3 linked regions of the Rattus norvegicus genome follow. The protein of the gene in region 2 binds, or shares a complex with, the protein of the main gene of each other region. Links are inferred from orthologs where the notes say so. Each region holds a gene or a part of one and is shown on either strand. Other genes may lie near its edges.

Region 1 (4,175 bases), on a different chromosome or scaffold from region 2:
ATGTAATAAGTGACTAAACCTCTGAAACTGTAAGCCAGCTGCAATGAAGTGTTTTCCCTTGTAAGAGTTGCCTTGGTCACATTGTCTCTTCATAGTAATAAAATCCTAACACATTAGGTATGGTAATATGAATCTACTGGTTCTGGTATTTTGAAAAATGAGGCAGGAATAAAGTTTGAAAACACAAATTTCTTTACTTTTTGGAGCTTTTAAATTGGATTCCTAATTTGAATCATGATTCTCCAAGCAAAAGGACTAGTGCACGCAACATTATCAATGTGTGTGGAAAAAGTGACGCTGTTGCTCAATATGTAGATTGCAGCCTCTAGGACCTCCAGAGAATCCTGACGTCAGTCGAAGCTCGGGTCCATTGCATTAAAGAGCACAGCACTTGCACAAAACTTAGATAAATCCTCTATCGGTATACGTTTAGTAGATGCTTCTCCTGCAATCCCAAGCCCCACCCTACCCACAATTATTTTCAATGTGTGGAAGGTTGAATCTGTAGTACTGAGGACAGAACCTAGGGCATGCATGTGACCACTAAGTTATATCTCTAGTCCATACATTTTGTTTTTTAAAGGTTCTTACTCTAATGGCCCATAGTGGCTTTGAACTGAAGGCAATCCTCCTGCCTCACTCTCCCACGGGTTCCTACCATGCCTTTCTATATTCTTTCTTTAATGGATTCCATGGAACTAGGTTTTTCAAATACCCCGAGGCAAAAGCCCTCTGATGTGGTGGTTTGAACAGGTCTGGCCTCCATAGATTGATGTGCATGAATGCCTGACCCACAGAAAGTGGCACTATTAAGAGGTATGGCCTCATGGGAGTGCCTGTGGCCTTGTTGGTGGAAGTGTGTCACTGTGGGAGTGGGCTTTGATGCTTCCTATCTCAAGCTGCATCCAATATGGAACATAGTCTCCTTCTGCAGCGTGAGGATCAACATGTTGGACTCTTGACTCCATGTCTGCCTGTATGTTGCTATGCTTCCCACAATGCGGCTAATGGACCAAACCTCTGAAACCAGTCCCAACTAAATGGTTTGCTTTATAAAATCTGCCTTGGTCATTATGTCTCTTCACAGCAATAAAACCCTATGACATCTTCCAGTGTCTAGGGTATCAAACTGTACTTATGTTTATTTCTGAAACACGGTCTATTATGTAACTGACACTGGCCTTGAGCACAATATGAAGACCACCTAGTTGGGTCTCAGCTCCAAATCCTCTTGCCTCAGAGCCCTTGGTACTAGGATTACAAGCATATGCCACCATGCCTACCTGTTCCGATGCCCATCTCTCTCTGAAATGGAAAGCTCCTTCAGGGTAAAAATAATATTCTTGTTGATTTGAGCACCATCAATGCCCGATAAAGCAATCAACTAAATCATTTCATGTCCTTCTTCCTGTCCTCAAAGGTATATATGAAATACTGGAACTATTTCTACCAGCTGAGTATACCAACCCTGGTAGGCCCAATCTTAAGGTATTACTAACATGTCTGTACTTGGCTTATTGTTTTTCTAATTAAAACGTATCCCTTGTGTATGATGCTCCAGAACACCATTTTTATTTTACTGTCCCTTTTGTAAACGTACAATTGATGGGGGTTATGATAACATGACAGTGGAGACCTATCAACCGACAATTACAGTGCCTACCTAGTACTTGCTAAGTTTCTAATGACATCTGACGTAACTCTCAAAGAGACCCAGAATGTATGTATACTCTTCTAAATATTTTACAGTCAACAAAAATCCTACACTGCAATGATTAGTATTCAAGGTCTATTCCCTACATCCTTCAGGAAAGCAAAAACCGTCAATAATAACGTGCTGGTTTGTACTGATAGGATTTTTCTGGAGAAAAGATGCATAATTTTTATTGACTTATCAAAAGACCTGTGACTCAGACATGATTAACTATGGCTGAGGATGAAACCCAATGGTCAACCATTTGCCTAGCATGTGCAAGGTCCTGTGTTCCACCCCCAGCATTAACAACAACACACTATCGTAAGTAAAGTGACTGTTGGTTTGAAAATCCTTTAAATGCACGAGTGACTGCCGTTGCAATGGTTACATGTTTTTCGATAAATCAAATTTCCTGAGCCTGACATTAGCTGTCTTCTAGAGAACAAATCCCTCACCTTTCAGTCTATTTCCTTTCCTCTGAAGCAAGGATCATTTTCATCGCCTTACTTACCTTCACCCACCCTGGTCTTTACCTGAAACGCTCCAATTCCAAAGTCCATCAATGTTTCCAAAGGTTCAACTCTGGACACTAGAAAGGTTCCTCGTCTATGCCAGTCTCCAGTGGATCACACCGCTCCCGAGCGAGTGTGAGCAGGCACCCGGCGACAGACAGACAGACAGACACACACACACACAGGCACACACAACACATAGACACAAACACACGCACGCTCGGGCACTCGACATGCACACAGACTCATCACCACACACAGTTGCGACAGCTCCCTGTCACTCACTGCCCAGGGACCTCAGACACACCTGGAACACGGCCACCCAGGCTCACAAGCACAGTATCACCGGCGCTCGCTCACTGCCCTGGCCCCAGCACTGCCCAGGGGCTAGACCACCTCCCCTTCCACCTTGACTGACAGCCCGTGTTCCAGGGACGCCCAGACAGACCCGGCGTCACTGCTCCCGCCTCCCGCCTCACCCGGTGCTGGTACAGACTGACGTTCCCGAAGCCGCCGGTGCCAAGCCTCTCCCGCATCTCCCAGGGGCCGCCGGCGCCAGGCCGCAGCCCCGGGGGCCGCTCCATGGGGCGGGAGCGCCAGCCGCCTCAGGCACTGCCACCAGTCCGAGGCCGGTTCCGGGCCGCCGAGGCTTGCGAGTCCTCCTTCTCGCGAGACTGCGTCACTTCCGCTAGCTTCCGCAAGCAAAGTCCCGCCCCGTGCGTCTCGAGTCACACTGGGATTGGTGCATACGAGTAGGCTGGGCACGAGCGGATTCCTATTCTGTTTTAAGTGCCCGGGCAACTTCCAGGCTGCGAGGACTATGGAGCGTGCTGTTTTTATTTTTTGTTTAGATATTTTAATTGGTTCTTTGAGGGTTTCATACAACGTGTTCTTATTTGAAAATAGATCTCTCTCCAAACCCTAAACTCCGCATTGTCCCTACCTTGCAAACATTTCATCTTTTTGAGAGTCCTGCCCTCTGCCCCTGGAATCCTACCACACTCGCTGGTCGGCACCGGTTAAGGCCTCCGTAAATGTGAAAGGAAACTGCGCTAACCGGCCTGTTGATTCATTAGCCTTCTAAGTCAGAGTCTCTCCTATAATTCCAAACCACCCAAGGATGTGACGTTATTCCTGAGTGAAAAACTCTTCCGGACTTTGTGAGTTTTCCTACCGACCTTACTGCTTATCAGCCTTGTTCTTTCAGATTTGCCAGGGAAGTGGTTCTGGATTGGAATTGATTCTGAAGTGGTGCCACATGACTGCAAAGACAAGCTTGGGGGAAGTCTCGGTCCGATAAGGCATAATACTTCTGAGTGGTGGGTTGCACAGGGAACGTCAACCCGCCTAGCCTTTTGAGTGGGTTATCCGCTTCTCTAGGTGTCTTGTTCTGAGACAGGATCTCAATACAGTCCAGCCTGGCCTAGAACTTGTTATTCCTCCATCTTTCTGAGAGTGGGATTACAGGCTTGTAGCACCCCACTGGGCTGAAGTCAAGGATGCTCATTGTCAGCATGCAATTCGATGTTGTGCATCACTAATAGTGAGTTGTATTCGATAAGCTGGTTTCTATTCTTTTCATGTCTTCTGTGGAATTGGAATATCGGACTTGAAGGTAATTGAAATTAGCCTCTGAGAGAACATCTCTAGAGGAGAGGAGACAGTCTAACAATATGAAGCCTCATTTGCAGTGTATGACAGAGATAGGCGTGAAAGGCATGCCCCATCTCCACAGATGGGATATAGATTCATAATAGTTTCATAAGAAGAGAGACGATGAAAACTCCAGCCAAGATAATGTTGACTGGGTTAATCAAGCTGGTTTCTACAGTCAGTTCACTTTAAATATTCTATTCTTAAAATGCAACTCAAAGTTTATTGATTTTTTTTTTCAAATTCTTGGGGCTTTGTTTTGTTTTTCTTTGCTTTTTTGTGAGTGTCTATGTAGCCTTGTGTCATTTGGAATT
Region 2 (3,649 bases):
ATCATGGGATCCCAGAAGACAGGACTCTGTTCCTCTGGACATGGCATAGAATGCTTGTTGGGAAGCTGATGGATGGTGGGTGAACACCTCTGTTCTGTTTGCCAGGCGGACATCTACAAGGCTGACTTCCAAGCTGAGAGGCATGCCCGGGAGAAACTGGTGGAGAGGAAGGAGCTTTTGCAGGAGCAGTTGGAGCAGCTGCAGCGCGAGTTCAACAAGTTGAAAGTTGGCTGCCATGAGTCAGCCAGGTGGGCCTCTAAGAGTGCAGCCAGGAGCACAGCCATAGACAAAGGAGGTGTACTCTAGGCAGCAACCAGTAGTAACTATAGGAGATGGATGGTTCTTAGCATTAGTATTAAATTCCCTGTGCCTCCTTCTACTGCTCTCTTTGTATTCTGTCCTTCCAACAATGACCTTTCCCATTGGAAACTAGAAATGTAACAGAAATGTATGTATTGAGATGTATCTAAGGCTGGAGGTTTCATAGCTTTCATACTGTCTTAGTTTGGTTTCTGTTGCTGTGATAAAGACAATAACTTATAGCAGCTGGGGAGGAAAGGGTTTATTTTAGTTTACAGTTTATAATCCATCACAGAGGGAAGTCAGGGCAGATATCTGAAGGCAGAAAATGAAGCATAGTCAAAAAATGCCTTACAAACTTGCCTATAAGCCAATTTATTGTAGATAGTTCCTTAATTGAAATTCTCTTGCCAGTTTGTGTGAAGTTGACTAGTCAACCTTGTCAGCTTGACATACAAACACTCCACTGTTAAACCATAACCTTTCCTTTCTTGTTTTTTCTCCAATTCATGTCAATATCACAATATAAAATATAAACTTAAAAGTGTCACAGTCTTTAAAACATTCCATCACTCTTTAAAAAAAAGTTTAAAAGCCTAGAATCTCAACTGTGCTTCTATAAAATAATGTTATATATTTTTTTACTTCAAGAGTGAAGAACCAGGGCACAGTCACAATCAAATCAAATCAAAACCAAAATCCAACAGTGTTAAAAAAAACCCACTGTTGATGCTTGCTGTCTGGTGCCCACTCATGATTCTCTGTGCTCTAAAGGTCTTGGGCAGCTATACTTACTTCTCTGCCTCTGCCATTCACAGGACACACAGCTCATCTTATAAGCTCAACCTGTTTCTTTTCCACAGCTGCTGCTCTCCTTGGTGGTTGTCTTATGGTACTGGCATCCAATATGCTAGGATTTCCACTGCAGCTGAGGATGTACCTTCACCAATAGCTTCTCCTGACCTCTGAAATAATGCCAAGCCCTTACTTTAGCTGCTTTCCATGATCCCTTCATATTACTTGGCCCCCTCTTCTTTGTGCTGACCCTGAAGAGATACTCTCTAGATTCTAAAAGATTTCACCTCAGTGATGCTGTTCCTAATCACAACTAATTTCTCAGCTTCAGTTAACCAGTATCAATTGTCCTCATAAAGCAAAGGTTTTACTTCAGTTCTGCTGATCTCTTTTTAATCACACCTGATTCTTCAGCCCCAGCTGACCAGAACTACAGACTCTTAATTCAGAATACCACACAAATGACCCTGATAGAATCTTTGCTTCCCTCTGAAACTTCATCATTTGCATTGGTGTCAGCATTATTATCTTCCTTGGCTCCCACAGAATAGCCCTTTAAGCCCTAACCTCTTGATGGCACTTCCAGCCCAAAGTTCCAAAGTCCTTCTACAGTCTTCCACAAAACAACATGGTCAGGTTGGATCTGTCTCAGCAATTCCACAAAAATCTGGTAACATTGTCTATCTTAGCTTGGTTGCTATTGCTGTGATAGACACCATGACCAAAAGCAACTTTGTGGGGAAGGGTTTATTTCAGCTTACAGTTGTAGTTAATCATGGAGGGAAGTCAGGAAAGGAACTTGAGACAGGAACAGAAGTAAAAACCATGGAAGAACTACTTTTTGGCTTGTTCTCCATGGCTTGCTTTCTTTTACAACCTAGGTGATTGCTCAAGGGGTGGCGCTGTCTCTTAGGGAACTAGGTCCTCTCACATCAATGAAGAAAATGCTCCAAATGCTTGCCTATAGGTCAGCCTAATGGGAATATTTACTCAATTGAGGTTCCCTTTGATCAGATGACTCCAGCTTTTGTCAAATTGACAAGCAATAACAACAACAAAACCTAACCAGTGCAAATATATTTATCTAAAACCTAAAAATATGACTTTATTTGGTTTAGAATCTTTGTATATGTAACTAGTTAATATAAGGTAACATTAGGTTAATTAATTGACTGTGGTACTTACAGAAGCACCAAATTAAGATAACAGAAGGCAGCCATAAGAAGGCCAAGGCAGACTCTGGGATTCAGCTACAAGCCAAGAAATATCAAGCTGTCTGTACACTACCACCAGCTAGGGCTAATTCTGCCCAGTCCTCTGACACTTTGATTTAGGGCACCTAGCCGCCTGTATCATGCATGTTTCTGTTATTTGAAGTTACTAGATGTGTGGTGGTTTGTAACAAGGTTCTGAGGAAACTAATACAGGGAACCCAGGAAGTAATTGCTAATAAGTACAAAGTTTCCTTTGGAGATGATGAAAATATTCTAAAATTATATGGATGATTGAATATGCTGAATAGAGTAAAACCCTCTAACAATACTGTTTAAATTGGTGAATTGTATATAGTATGTGAGTTATATCTGAATGAAGGTATTTATTCATAAAAATTCCTACAGGCACTGATTGAATATTTTCTGTTTTCAAAAGGATTGAGGATATGAGGAAGCGGCATGTAGAGACTTCCCAGCCCCCTTTACTCCCTGCTCCAGGTGAGTGAATAAGTGGTAGATGGTGGGAGGAGATGGTTAGGGAGGGCAGAATGTTGTGCTGAGGGGAAGCATGTGTTGGCTTCTCTGCTACTCTGCTTTGGGGAGTTCTTGTTGACCATTCCTGTCAGTAGCCCATCACAGTCTGAGGTCAAAGGAAAAATATGCTTGTAGAGGTGGCTCCCAGTTATGCAGTCAAATATGGTGGTATCAGTAAGTCTCATCACCTTGTTAGCCTTTCTGTTTTAGGCCTACATAGGCTGTGCTAAATAGTTACATAGTCCATCATACTCCTGTGTTCTTTTTTTCTCAGCTCACCACTCCTTTCATTTGGCCTTGTCCAACCAGCGGAGGAGCCCTCCTGAGGAACCACCTGACTTCTGTTGTCCCAAGTGCCAGTATCAGGCTCCTGATATGGACACTCTACAGATACATGTCATGGAGTGCATAGAGTAGGAGCAGCAGATTCAAGGCCACCTGTAATACTATGTCCCAATCTGTGCAACTTATGCTTTCCCGTTTCACCTGCGTAGTCCACAATTAAGTGCTTAATGTCAAAGAGTGGGTCCCAGGAACTAGCAGGACCCTTGCTTTAGCCCTTTGGTCTGCTAGTCCCCTATTAGGGTAGACAGCTCCATTCAGGGCTGTTTTTTTTCCCTTTTTTCTTCTGTGTGCCTGAGCCACTTCGCCTCTGGTGGCTTCTTCTTCCCTCTTCTCCCATTTTCTTAGGGAGTCTAGAATGGAGGCCAGGGGCTCTCAGGGAGCATCCCTTCTCCAAGCAGGGCTAGTGCCTCTCTTCAGCTAGTGCCTTTCTTGCCAGTGAACTGCAGGCTCTCCTCCTTAAG
Region 3 (3,649 bases), on a different chromosome or scaffold from region 2:
CAGCCATTGGGACCGTACTGGGGGTCCACGCCCCTTTGCCGAGGTTGCCACGTGAGCATCAGCTGAAGCCACTTCTCCAGACGCTCAGCCAGGACACTAAGGGAGCGAAGGGAAGAGAGGTCTGGGCTGGGCTGCCTTAGTGTGCAAACACCAAAGCACAGCCTTGGCTGACGGCCCAGCTCGAGGGAGCGGCTTGCTGTGCACACACAAGACCCTAAGCTCCATCCCAAAGACCACACGAGTGCTTATGTCAGACAAGCGGATTCTTGAGGAGTCAGCCAGTTCAGACCAGTGAGAGACTCTGCCTTGAAACAGAGAAGGTGGACAGTGCGGGAAGAGTGAGAGCCAAGGTCGTCTTCCAGAGCACGTGCACACTCAGAACACACGTGCGTGAGTGCATCCAAACACACATTTTAAAGAAGGCTTGAGTGTGTCTCAACACAACACACATGGTGGCAACCAGATAATTATCAAAAATGAAAATGAGAGAACTGAGAGAAAACATAGACACTTCCAAACGAGTTAACAGTTTAGGAACGGCCCCTCTCCTTTCCGACAGGGTCACCCCAGTAAACCTTAGAGTGACCCTGAGGCTTTGATAACGCGTTTGAGAGCTGGGTGGAGTGCTTGCCTGGCTCTGTGGTTCCCTCATCAGCACCATGTCTCTGTATGTACATGTGTAACTATGTACACCAAAGGATTTTTAAATTTCTTTATGATTTGTTATGAGTAGACGTCTACTTATGTACTTCATGTACTTACATTCCTGCGGTATATAAACATTCCTTACGGTTTGTTATCAGTAGATGTTGGTTTATACACTTTATGTATTTACATTCCCGTGGTATTAGAAACATTTCTTGGGACACAAAGGGACCCTACCTGCTGGCTGTCCTGGAACTCACTGTGCAGACCAGGCTGGCTGGTCTTGAACTCACAGACATCCACCTGCCTCTTCCTCCCCAGTGCTGGGATTAAAGGTGTGCACCAACATGCCAGGCTCCCAGTGAAAGTCTTAAATAGCTCTGACCTGGACTGACCACAGCTGCTGAGTTGAGGGCATCCAATGGGTGTATGTGCCCATGTTCAGACTCCTCCTACTTCCCCTACACTGGCCACGTAAGGCCAACCCTACATGACTCTGCTCTGTCTGATCTTTCCCCATCAACATTCCTCTACTTCATCTGCCCATGTCCTCTACATCTAACTTTCCCCTTCGTCCCCCATTACAGCACATCCAAAGTCGCTCCCATGGCTGTAGTCCATCCAACTCCTTCCCTGTCCTCCAACACTGCAGTAGTCATCCTGGGGCTTCCTTTGCTATGATCAATTCTGACTGGGTAGTGAGCTGCTCACACTCTAGCTCTAAGACTGGACCACAGTCACATTCAGACTTCAAAGGTTTGTCTGTTTAGGCCAGATGGGAACACAGAGGAAGAAGGCGAAATCCTGACCCTCCTTCCCATGGTGTAACAGAAAAACCCTATGCTCAGGTGAACTAGAGCCACATCATAGCTTCGGCTGCCAATGTCAAACCCACAGTGACCTGGGAAGAGGGGGCTCAGATGGATTGCCTCGGGAAGATGGGCAAGTTCGATGCCTCCTAAACATGAGGCAGGCAAGGCGCCGAGAGTTCGACATCTTGTTCCAAGGGAACTAGGAGACTGCTGACTTCTAGGCATCTAGGAGGAGCGTCTCCAAGCCCACCCCACAATGACACACACTGTCAACTGTCAGTGCTGTCAACTGCAACTGAGGCTGCACCTTCACCAGTGGCTTCCACGGCCTCTCACAGTGCCCAGCCTCAGCTGCTCTCCATGACCCCTTCATGCCTTCAAAACCAGTACCACCTGGGTGACTCTTACATATTACCAAGTCCAGCTGCAGCATGAGATGCAACCTTGGCTGTCTCTGGAACACAGCTTCTTTGTGCTCTTAGAAAACACTTCCCTGAAGTTTTCACCTAAGTGATGCTGGTCTCTTCTAAATCACCACTACTTTCTTGGTTCCAGGTAACCAGCATCAATTGTCCTAGTAGACCCCTGGGCCACAGGTGGTTTATCATAGCAATAGAAAAGGAACAGAAAGTAAACTAGAACAAGATCAATAAGGACAATGAGACAAACAAATAGTCTGTAAATTTAGTAAAGAGAGAGTCTAAGGGCTGCGAGTGTGGCTCACTAGAGTACTTGCTTGACCTAAACAAACCCAGAGATTCCAGCAGAAGGGGGTTGTGTATGACTTTAATTCTAGCACTTGGAAGGCAGAGGCAGGAGGATCTCCAAGGTCCAGGCCAGCCAGATCTACAGAGTGAGTTCCAGGACAGCTAGGGATACACAAAGAAACCCTGTCTCAAAAAAAAAATCAAATCCAAACCAAAAAACAAAACAATAAAAAACAAAGACAGGAATTTCATCTCCACCACAGCAAAAACCAACAACCCAATCAACCACCCAACCAAGAACTATCTACCCAACCAATCAACCACCCAACCAAGAACTATCTACCCAACCAACCACCCAACCAAAAAACTATCTACCCAACCAACCAACCACCCAACCAAGAACTATCTACCCAACTAACCAACCGCCCAACCAAAAAACTATCTACCCAACCAACCAACCACCCAACCAACCAACCACTCAACCAAACAACTGTCTACCCACCCACACACCCACCCACCCATCCACCTATTGAACCAAGCAACCAAGCAAAGAATTAAATAAGAAAAGATTTCTAGGGAGATGAGATATGGGAGTGCACCCCATGTCTAATGTGGAGATGGACTGGTCAAGTTCTCATCACAGAATGGTATTCTGATATCTGTTCAAGTTATCCAAGGGCCTGGAGAGGGCTTAGTGGCTAAGAGTGCTGTGTTTGGTTCCCAGTAAGGTTCACAAGGCAGATCACAATCATCCCTAACTCCAGTTCCAAGGGATCTGACTACTCTTCTGGCTTCCACAGGCACTGGTCACCCAAACATAAAATCAAAAGTATCAGCTGTTACCTCAACCCTGGATTTCTAAGAAGAGGAGAAAAGTATCTTCAGGACCGAAGCCCCACGGCCTTACCTGTTGAGATTATTGGGGAAGGGTAAGGAACTTGAGAACTTCACTGTTCCGTTCAAGTCCTCGCTAACAACAATGTCCACTTCGCTCTTCTGCCGGACTTTAGAGTGCCTGCGGGTGTCATTTTAAGATGTCCTTTATGTCACTCAGTGGCAAGTACCCAGCTTACACTTGTAACGTCACTTCACAACTGTATGCTTTTTAGAACAATGGTCCGTGTGCTGCTGGGATGCCTCTCCCAGGGTTTGTGAGTGGTCTGCACTGTGGTTAGGGGTTTAGCTCAGTGGCAGTGAGTGTAGCATGAGTGGCCCTGGTTCAGTCCACAGCATGTAAACAGAACGTGCTCGGGGATGTCCAAATGAGACCTTGCAGGACAACCTTGAGCAAGGTCACCCATGGCCTCTCTCCCTAAGTTCTCCAGGAAGCACCGTGGACTTCTATGTGGACGGCTTAAAAGAGACAACTCAAATCTGAGTAAGGCTTCATGCGCGACCAAGTGCTCTTGACTATTTTTCTAATTTCCTCTGCCCTTCAGTTATCAGGTACAACCTTTCATTTAAATACAATTATTTTCAATTACA

The links.
Region 1: Ikbkg (region 2) and Chuk share a complex: the UniProt entries of both Homo sapiens proteins name them as parts of the I-kappa-B-kinase (IKK) core complex. The link is inferred for Rattus norvegicus from reciprocal best matches to the Homo sapiens genes IKBKG and CHUK.
Region 3: the proteins of Ikbkg (region 2) and Ikbkb are in contact, whole or in part, in a crystal structure (PDB 3BRV), measured with the Homo sapiens proteins. The link is inferred for Rattus norvegicus from reciprocal best matches to the Homo sapiens genes IKBKG and IKBKB. Residues at the interface, in NP_001093327.1 of Homo sapiens: Arg62, Ile65, Arg66, Asn69, Leu72, Arg73, Arg75, Cys76, Leu79, Phe82, Gln83, Gln86, Lys90, Leu93, Met94, Phe97, Ala100, Arg101, Val104; in NP_001547.1 of Homo sapiens: Ser705, Leu708, Glu711, Ala712, Leu715, Cys716, Leu718, Leu719, Ala722, Ile723, Asp725, Thr726, Glu729, Gln730, Gln732, Phe734, Leu737, Asp738, Trp739, Trp741.

The regions. Positions count from the first base shown.
Region 1 is NC_086019.1:252,941,384-252,945,558, forward strand, and holds the start of Chuk (inhibitor of nuclear factor kappa-B kinase subunit alpha), read right to left. Parts: upstream 2,891-4,175; 5' UTR 2,793-2,890; coding exon 2,688-2,792; intron 2,638-2,687; exon of another isoform or gene 2,257-2,637; coding exon of another isoform or gene 2,230-2,256; intron 1-2,229.
Region 2 is NC_086039.1:157,386,313-157,389,961, forward strand, and holds part of Ikbkg (NF-kappa-B essential modulator), read left to right. Parts: intron 1-105; coding exon 106-248; intron 249-2,745; coding exon 2,746-2,807; intron 2,808-3,117; coding exon 3,118-3,260; 3' UTR 3,261-3,649. UniProt on the Homo sapiens protein: Regulatory subunit of the IKK core complex which phosphorylates inhibitors of NF-kappa-B thus leading to the dissociation of the inhibitor/NF-kappa-B complex and ultimately the degradation of the inhibitor.
Region 3 is NC_086034.1:76,056,395-76,060,043, reverse strand, and holds part of Ikbkb (inhibitor of nuclear factor kappa-B kinase subunit beta), read right to left. Parts: intron 3,180-3,649; coding exon 3,072-3,179; intron 97-3,071; coding exon 1-96.